Linked DNA regions of Drosophila melanogaster. Each later gene encodes a partner of the first gene's protein in a complex. Each region holds a gene or a part of one and is shown on either strand. Other genes may lie near its edges. The genes, in order: Trax and trsn. A codon is read from its position in the direction of its gene.

Region 1 (3,926 bases):
GCCTAAGAAAGCGCGTAAAATCGGAGGAGCCTGTGGCGTCCATTAAAGATGAAACAAATCCTGAAGTTCCTATGAAAATAAAAGCTGAGCCAGTGGAGAATGCAGATGAGCCCACAAGCACTACTCCTGCGATCAAGATTAAAGCCGAACCAGCGGACAATGGAAACTCACCTGCAGCTGCGATGGTAAAAACCGAGCCCACTAATAGCAATGCACAGGACGCCGCCGACGAGTCTACCGTATCTTCAAGCAGTATTAGGACTTCTTGTCGCTTCGGCATACGATGCTACAGGTGATTCACACTAACCAACTCCCATATTACCAACTAAAAATATACCTTTTTCCAATGACAGGCGAAATCCAGCTCATCGTAGTGCAGAAGCTCATCCGGGGGATCAGGATTACCGGCGACCAAACTTTCCAGCGCCACCCCTCGGAACTCCAGCTTGTCCTTTCGGTAACGCATGCTATCGCCGTAACCCAGTTCACTTCCAGGATTACTCCCATCCTGCGGATTGTAAGTAGAAGGCTTGGCATACTTCGGCTTCAAATTGGCTAAAGCCCATTGTAGTCAATTCCGCGCAGAACATTCGAAATCGTCTGCGTCAACGGCGAGCCCAACGGCAGAACGACGATGACTCGGGGACGGATGAGGAGGATGAACCCTTTGGTGGCGACAATGACAGGGATGCGGACTACCGTCCAGGCGCAGACATAAACGAAGATGAGGATGATGAGCTGGAGTTTGATAGCCAACCAATAAGTGGGGATGACTATGATTAGACTATAAATTCAAATTCGCTGTTAACTTAGATGATACGTTCCATTTGCCGAATAATAGGCTTTATATATATATATTATATTCTGTTGATGAAAACTTATGTCTATGGAGTTCCATTAGTAGAAGCCCTCGTCAACTTCATCGGCTGGCTTTTGATCAAAAGTGGCGCCCCATTTTGCAGCCTCTCCGCCGCGAACTTTTACATTGTAGCAAACATTCTCGGCCTTAAGAACGCTCTGCTTCATGGTAGTGATCTTACGCCATAGTTCACGGGCTCTCTGACAGTTTAGACTGATGTAACTGAAAACAATAGGAAGTTAATTGAGTTTCTTAAGGGAGAACTAACCAACCCGCTGTAGAAATGCTGCAGGGCCTTGCAGGTGTCCAAACAGGTGTCTGTATCTCCACTGCCTAGCGAATTTATGCAGCGGCGCATCAGTTCACCAGTAAGATCCGAAAGTCCAAGTATATATTCCGTGGGGTCTACGAAAAACTGGAACTTCTTTGGGCTCTCAACCTGAGCTATAGCCTGAACATCTTCGCCTTCAGTTGGTTCTTCCTTTGGCTGGCTGCTCTCCTCGACGTACTGCATCACCGCCTGAATGGCCTGCCAATCTGAAACGCTCTTGGTTTCGTTCTCGCCCTCAGCATCCTCGTGGCACAGGTACTCCATGTAGGTGTAGGCCTCGATAAACTCCTGCAATCCTGGAGAGTAGGAGCTGCGGAACTGGTAGACATCCTGGTCGCGCAGTTCCAGGGCCACAGCCCTAAAGTTAACCGCGATCAGCTTGTTCAGTCGCTGACGTGCCTCCTCCAGGACCTTCTCCTTATTCTGCTTACGCGAGTCAATGGAGTGCAGCAGGAAGATGATACGCTTGGACTCGATGGTAATGTCACGGCTCAGCTTGACAATTCGCTCGTGGCGATCGTGTTTCATGATCAATTCATTAGAATAAATTCGAAATTGTTGGACAATGGGACTGTCTTCATCCAGCTGGGCAGCCGGTATTTGGCGCTTCCTGGGAGCAGTGTTCCTGTGACCAGCACCTCCGTTTTTCGGCATTATTGATATCTTACGCGATTCTATTTGAACGGCTTAAATATGTTTTTTTTTTTGTTTTTATTTTTTTAGATTTTCAATCGCGTCGGCAAAAAATTTATTGTAAACAAATGTCCGATAATTGAGGTATTAACCATATCGATAGTTGCCGACAAATATCGCCACCTGATATCGGTGCTAAGACCCGAGAAACTTTCGTGGCAAGAATTTGTTAAAAATATACAAATAATTAAATTCCAGCCCTAAGGCAATGCATGATCCGGTCAAAAAGTCGGCTCACTTGACCGCTGGCTCCACCAGCACAGCGGAGAAGCTGTGCTTCGACAAGAATGAGTTTATGAAGGTCAGTAATCCATGTCAGATATGTGTTCCCTTGCTAAAATTACTTCGAACAGGCAAACTTCTCGGTGGATGAGTTTCTGCACAAGAACCGCAATGCGCCCAGTCTGGAGCAGCTACGCGACAACCTGGGCCTTTACCTCAAAGGTCTGCGGGCGGCCATGATAGATTTGATCAACGAGGATTACGCAGACTTCGTAAACTTGAGCGCAAACCTGGTGGGACTGGACCAGAATATAAAGACCATTCAACAGCCATTGGAGCAATTCCGCAGCGACATCGAGAGCATTCACGGCTTGATAGATGAGAACGTGACCGAGCTGCGGGCCCAGTTGGAGGAAAAGCGTCAGCTTCGCGAGTTCAAACGCGGTCTGCAGAGCCTCAAGAAAGTGTATGAGACCATTAACAAGCTTCAGGATCTAATCGACCGAAAGCTCAGCGGGGAACAACCAATTAAGGCCGTTGACCTGGAGCGCGCTGCTCTGGACCTGATTCAATTGAAGTTCCATGAGAAACACTGTTTCAAGCACTTAAGTCCCGACCATCAAGGGAAGATCCAACAGCTAGAAGAGCAATTGCATCAGCATCTGCGACGCTTCTTCAATGACGCCCTTAGCCAGGCACGCAACTCGGCACCGGAATCCTTAGAGCGCTGCTTGCGGATCTACATAACTCTAAATGCCTGTGATCAGGCAGAGTGCGCCTTCCGCGAGGATGTGGTGGCACCGTATATGACGGGCGTCATTGGCGAACAACAGTTGCAAAACTCGCCGCAGGGATTAGCTGGCATCTACAGCAAGATCCTCAACTTTATATCGCTGCATATGACCGATTTGCTGCGCCTTACGCTTTACTCTGATAAGTTTCCGGGCTTTAACTTCGTGGTTAATAGTTACTGGTCTGATGTGGAGACGCGTCTCGAACTGCACATGAATTCCATATTTGCGCCTGGCAATTCGGAGGTGTTCTATGTAAAATACAAGTGCACTCGCGATTTCCTGGGCAAAATAGAGGAGCTATTGACCTGCTCCGGAGAGCAGGCCGTAACGTTCTATCGCCAGCACAAGCAAACAAAAAGTTTTGAGGCTCGCTGGAATCTTCCGGTTTACTTCCAAATATGCTTTCAAGTATGTAAATAAGTTTATATAGTAGAATTTTCGATTAATGTGAAATGCTTCTAGGAAATTGCTGGTAAATTTGAAGCCCAGTTGGAGCCGGTGCTCCAGGAGGATAGTTTAAAAGATAATCTCACCGATAGTGACTACAAAATATCCGCATTTAATGCCGCGAAGGAGGCTATGACACGGTGCTGGGCCGAGGGAGTTTACCTACCCGAAGTATTTCCGAAATTTTACAAACTTAATGTGCAGGTGGTACTGCGTCTTTCGCGCTGGATCACGGATGCAATTACTCAATCGAAAGGCAGCAACTTTTCTAAGCCCTACACTCGAAACCAGTTGCTTATTGCCCTCCATGCTGACATTCGCAAACTTGACGCGCATCTGCCAGAGCTTCAGCAATTGATTATTAAATCAGTGCCCGTTGAACAGTGTACGAAGATCTTTAGCGACGTTTTGGCCAAATCGATGTCCTGCCTAGCCGACACGCTAGGTGCGCATTTGACCAACATACAAAAGACCTTAGTGGAGTTGCTGATCGGAGAATGCGAGACGGAAAATGTGCGACAGGTAAACGACTTGCCGCGGCTGTATCGCAAGACGAATCGAGAGGTTCCCACACGATGTT
Region 2 (3,629 bases), on another chromosome or scaffold:
GCCAACTGCCCGCCAGACTTACTTTCTTGAAATGGTAACCAATTGCAGTCTCCACTTTCAAATCAAAATGCTAGAAAGGGCGAAACAATAAAGAGCGCACAAAGCGGGAAAAAACAATAAGAACAACACGGGAAGGACGACGGACGACGAAGCAGCAAACAAGAAAATGCAAAGACGCGCGCGCAATGTTAACGTTGTAAGCGTTGCGGTGGCAAAAGAGAGACTGAAACTGCGCCTGAGAAGCAGAAGCAAAGGCGAAACGGAAGCAGCGGCCAAAGAAGAGCAGCAACAAATCCACCATATGATCGGGGCAACAACAACAACTGCGGCCCAGTGGTGGTGGCTAAACAAGTTTCAAAAGGGTTAAGCCATCAAACTTCTGCACTTGTCTCTATGTATACTTAGTTATGATTTAATCAAAACGCGCACAGCCATTTTAATTACCTTTAAGTTGCACAAACTTATGTTTTTTTGTTATGGTTCAAAGCACTATTTCGCTTCTGTGTAAACTGATCATTAAAATAAGATGGTGCCTATTAAGATGTAAAGAAATGTGTTCTGAAAAAAAACAAAAACACATTTCAGATTTTTAACACAGGATTACATACATATATCCTGCTACATTTGATTCCTACGAGCATTCCTGATTTAAATAGTAAAATAAAATGATACTCTGTTTAATGAATGTAATATATTTGCTTGTTTAAATGAAACTTTTTCATTTTAATAAACGCCTTATCCTACGTACGAAGTAAACTATTCGGTTGCAGGAACAGCCGGCTCCTCCTGCTGGTCCTTTTCCTTGCTGGACAGACCGCGTATGCTGACATCGTAGACGACCTCCTCGATCTTCTTGACATCATACTTTAAGGCATCGAAGCGCTTTCGCAAGCCATCGTTCTTCAGGTTCAGCAGACGGAAGCCCGTGTTCAGGTCACCAATAAAATGGGAGATATTCAGGGGACGCTCGTAGTCGCCCATGGTGACGGAATTGGTAGCGAATCGGGAGAGCTCCGACGCCAACTGCAGTATGCCCAGTAGATAGTCCTCCACATCCAGATGGAAGCCCTCAGACTGGCTGATCTTCACTGTGGAGTAATTAACTATTATTTCGTATCCAGAGAGCCTTCCAAATCTAGCTTACATCCCAGCATTTCGGCCACTGTTTCGCGGGTGACCAAGAAGCCCGCCTCCAGGTAAATAACCAAGGCAATGATGAAGATCAAACGCTGCGTAATGAAGGTCCAGTGATCGGAGTATCTGGAGAAGGCGGAGCATTCGACACCCACAATAGACACCACGGATTTCACCATCTGACTCACCTGTAGTACTGCCCAGCTGGCACCAGTTCGGCCAATTTCTGGTACTTTTGGGCACACAGCTCAACCTGTTTGCGGGCTAAGCCGCAGGCGGCACTAACTATTGTTCAAGTATAATGTCATATTAGAACAAAACATACAAGCTACCAAATTGTACAGAACTTACTCTGGCTCAAATCGCTATGAATAATCTGCAGTTTAATCTGCGCTTCCTTTGACAAATGCTCGATTTCGCGCACCACAATGCGGATGTTCTAAAAACAATGGTTTAAGATGGTGGTTTTTAGGATATTAACCGTCAACTCACCTCCCTGACTTCCTGTTCATTGTCTATGTACTTTTGGTAGTTGGAGAAGATGTCCAAGTTCACGAAGTTCGACATTTTTGCTTAATGTTTTGCTGCTTTTGTTAGTTGTTTATACCGGCGATAGGGATGGGAGTATAGCCAAGCAATAAGTCTAGCAATGCTATCGATATGTCACATTGTTATCGCTTGCCCAAACCAGTGTTGGTGAACGCCCTTCTTGTCATCTGTAGTTTCATTAAAATTGTTTTGTCCCTCAAGTTCCAATTAGAATCGAACTAGGCTCGTGACAAAATGTCTTATGTGAGTGTGTTTATGCTTAAGAAAGTGGATTAAATGTACTTACTACCGTTTATCCACAGGGACAAGGCTATAACCCGTATGCCCAGCCCGGTGGTGGCTATGCCCCGCCGCCAGGAGCATTTCCGCCGCAGAATGCCCAGGTGTCTCCGCAGGCACAGCAATGGTTCTCCATGGTGGACCGCGACCGATCTGGAAAGATAAACGCTTCCGAGTTGCAGGCGGCCCTGGTGAATGGGCGTGGCGATCACTTCTCGGATAATGCCTGCAAGCTGATGATAAGTAAGCTTAAGCCCTGCCCAAAAAAGATCCCAAAGTTTCCTCTACAGGAACTGTGACGTCAGTAGGTGAACACTAACAAACGTGTATACACTGTATACTATACAGTAGACCCTCTAAAAGACGATCATAAGCTAAACTAGTTTGGTAGGCAATATAGTAACACAAGAACACAAGAACAGGTTGTCGATTTGAATCTTCTATGCGTAGCCTAGCACACCCGCTGTATGCCAAGAACCAATGAAGGGCACATGGGCACATATATTTAGATCATCCTGTGAGCTGATGATAGCTAAGTAAGCTTCAGTTATGAAATACTTTAAAATTCCTTCGATTCCCCTTCCGGAAACTGTGACGTCAGTACTCCCCTAACAGACAGTCAGTATCAATTTAGTTATACTTTCGGCTATAAATGTTTCACTGTATTTATTGCCCCAATTTAGGGTACATGCATATTTGTTTAGATCACCTGGAGCGCCAGACACTTTTCCGTTTGTTTACCCTGCGATTTATGTTGTATTTTTATCGCCTTTTTTAATTTACTCAACAGGCATGTTCGACAACGACGCCAGTGGTACCATCGATATCTATGAGTTCGAGAAGCTCTACAACTACATCAACCAATGGCTGGTAAGGTATTTCTTATATCGAAACTAAGTAGTCTGACTCATTGTATCACTGTTGCAGCAAGTCTTCAAGACCTACGATCAGGACTCCTCTGGACATATCGAGGAACAGGAGCTGACCCAAGGTAAGCTAACACAACAACTGAATCTCCAATTCCTTTATGGCCTTTTACACTAATTACCAAACTTGTTGGCAGCCTTCACCCAGATGGGCTTTCGATTCTCGCCCGAATTCATAAACTTCCTGGTGAAGAAGAGCGACCCCCAGGGCCACAAAGAGGTGTCCGTGGATCAGTTCATAGTGCTCTGCGTGCAGGTGCAGCGTTTCACGGAGGCCTTCAGGCAGCGCGACACCCAGCAGAATGGAACCATCACCATTGGGTTCGAGGACTTCCTCACCGTGGCCATTGGCTGCTCGTATTGAAAGAATGATTCAATGCAACCGCTCCATGGGAATGCATCTCCACAGTCTTGCACACACACACACACACACTACAGCCAACAGTGGATGATCATAAATTTCGCGACTGGTGCATTTTTCTTAAATTTTCAACGGTGTTAGCTTTTTAATATGTAAATGAATCACTCCACAGTCATATTGCAATCTCCTGGTATCAGAATCAAATTTCAAAAGTATTTGTTAACGCAGTTCGACTCAATAATCATAGTACAAAGTCTCTTGCGCCTAATAATAAACTATACACACGTATTTTTAAAAATTAAAAGATATCTGCGTTTTATTTAAAATGTAAACATTGTATATGAAAAGTTCATTATAAAATCATGTCTTATTTTAGCAGT

The links.
Region 2: the proteins of Trax (region 1) and trsn are in contact, whole or in part, in a crystal structure (PDB 3RIU), measured with the Drosophila melanogaster proteins. Residues at the interface, in NP_650454.2 of Drosophila melanogaster: Gln33 (codon at 1,748), Phe34 (codon at 1,745), Ile36 (codon at 1,739), Tyr37 (codon at 1,736), Ser38 (codon at 1,733), Glu40 (codon at 1,727), Leu41 (codon at 1,724), Lys44 (codon at 1,715), His45 (codon at 1,712), Leu105 (codon at 1,532), Val110 (codon at 1,517), Tyr111 (codon at 1,514), Gln112 (codon at 1,511), Arg114 (codon at 1,505), Thr145 (codon at 1,412), Lys146 (codon at 1,409), Ser147 (codon at 1,406), Asp150 (codon at 1,397), Trp151 (codon at 1,394), Gln152 (codon at 1,391), Pro195 (codon at 1,262), Gly238 (codon at 1,133), Tyr239 (codon at 1,080), Ser241 (codon at 1,074), Leu242 (codon at 1,071), Asn243 (codon at 1,068); in NP_610591.1 of Drosophila melanogaster: Asp8 (codon at 1,680), Phe10 (codon at 1,674), Asn12 (codon at 1,668), Tyr13 (codon at 1,665), Gln14 (codon at 1,662), Tyr16 (codon at 1,656), Ile17 (codon at 1,653), Gly83 (codon at 1,336), Tyr86 (codon at 1,327), Arg87 (codon at 1,324), Thr116 (codon at 1,175), Arg117 (codon at 1,172), Gln130 (codon at 1,077), Asp137 (codon at 1,056), Val138 (codon at 1,053), Glu139 (codon at 1,050), Tyr141 (codon at 1,044), Leu142 (codon at 1,041), Leu178 (codon at 933), Gly181 (codon at 924), Phe182 (codon at 921), Leu184 (codon at 915), Leu185 (codon at 912), Asn186 (codon at 909).

What each region holds. Positions count from the first base shown.
Region 1 is NT_033777.3:15,359,743-15,363,668, reverse strand, and holds Trax (translin associated factor X), read right to left. Parts: upstream 1,978-3,926; 5' UTR 1,845-1,977; coding exon 1,132-1,844; intron 1,082-1,131; coding exon 898-1,081; 3' UTR 819-897; downstream 1-818. Other genes in the region: CG6171 (uncharacterized protein), read left to right, coding at 1-292, 354-517, 572-783; Cog2 (component of oligomeric golgi complex 2), read left to right, coding at 2,092-2,184, 2,237-3,307, 3,362-3,926.
Region 2 is NT_033778.4:10,478,338-10,481,966, forward strand, and holds trsn (translin), read right to left. Parts: upstream 1,775-3,629; 5' UTR 1,702-1,774; coding exon 1,627-1,701; intron 1,574-1,626; coding exon 1,486-1,573; intron 1,420-1,485; coding exon 1,323-1,419; intron 1,261-1,322; coding exon 1,145-1,260; intron 1,089-1,144; coding exon 757-1,088; 3' UTR 674-756; downstream 1-673. Other genes in the region: Pef (peflin), read left to right, coding at 1,918-1,926, 1,986-2,205, 2,753-2,832, 2,890-2,953, 3,026-3,252.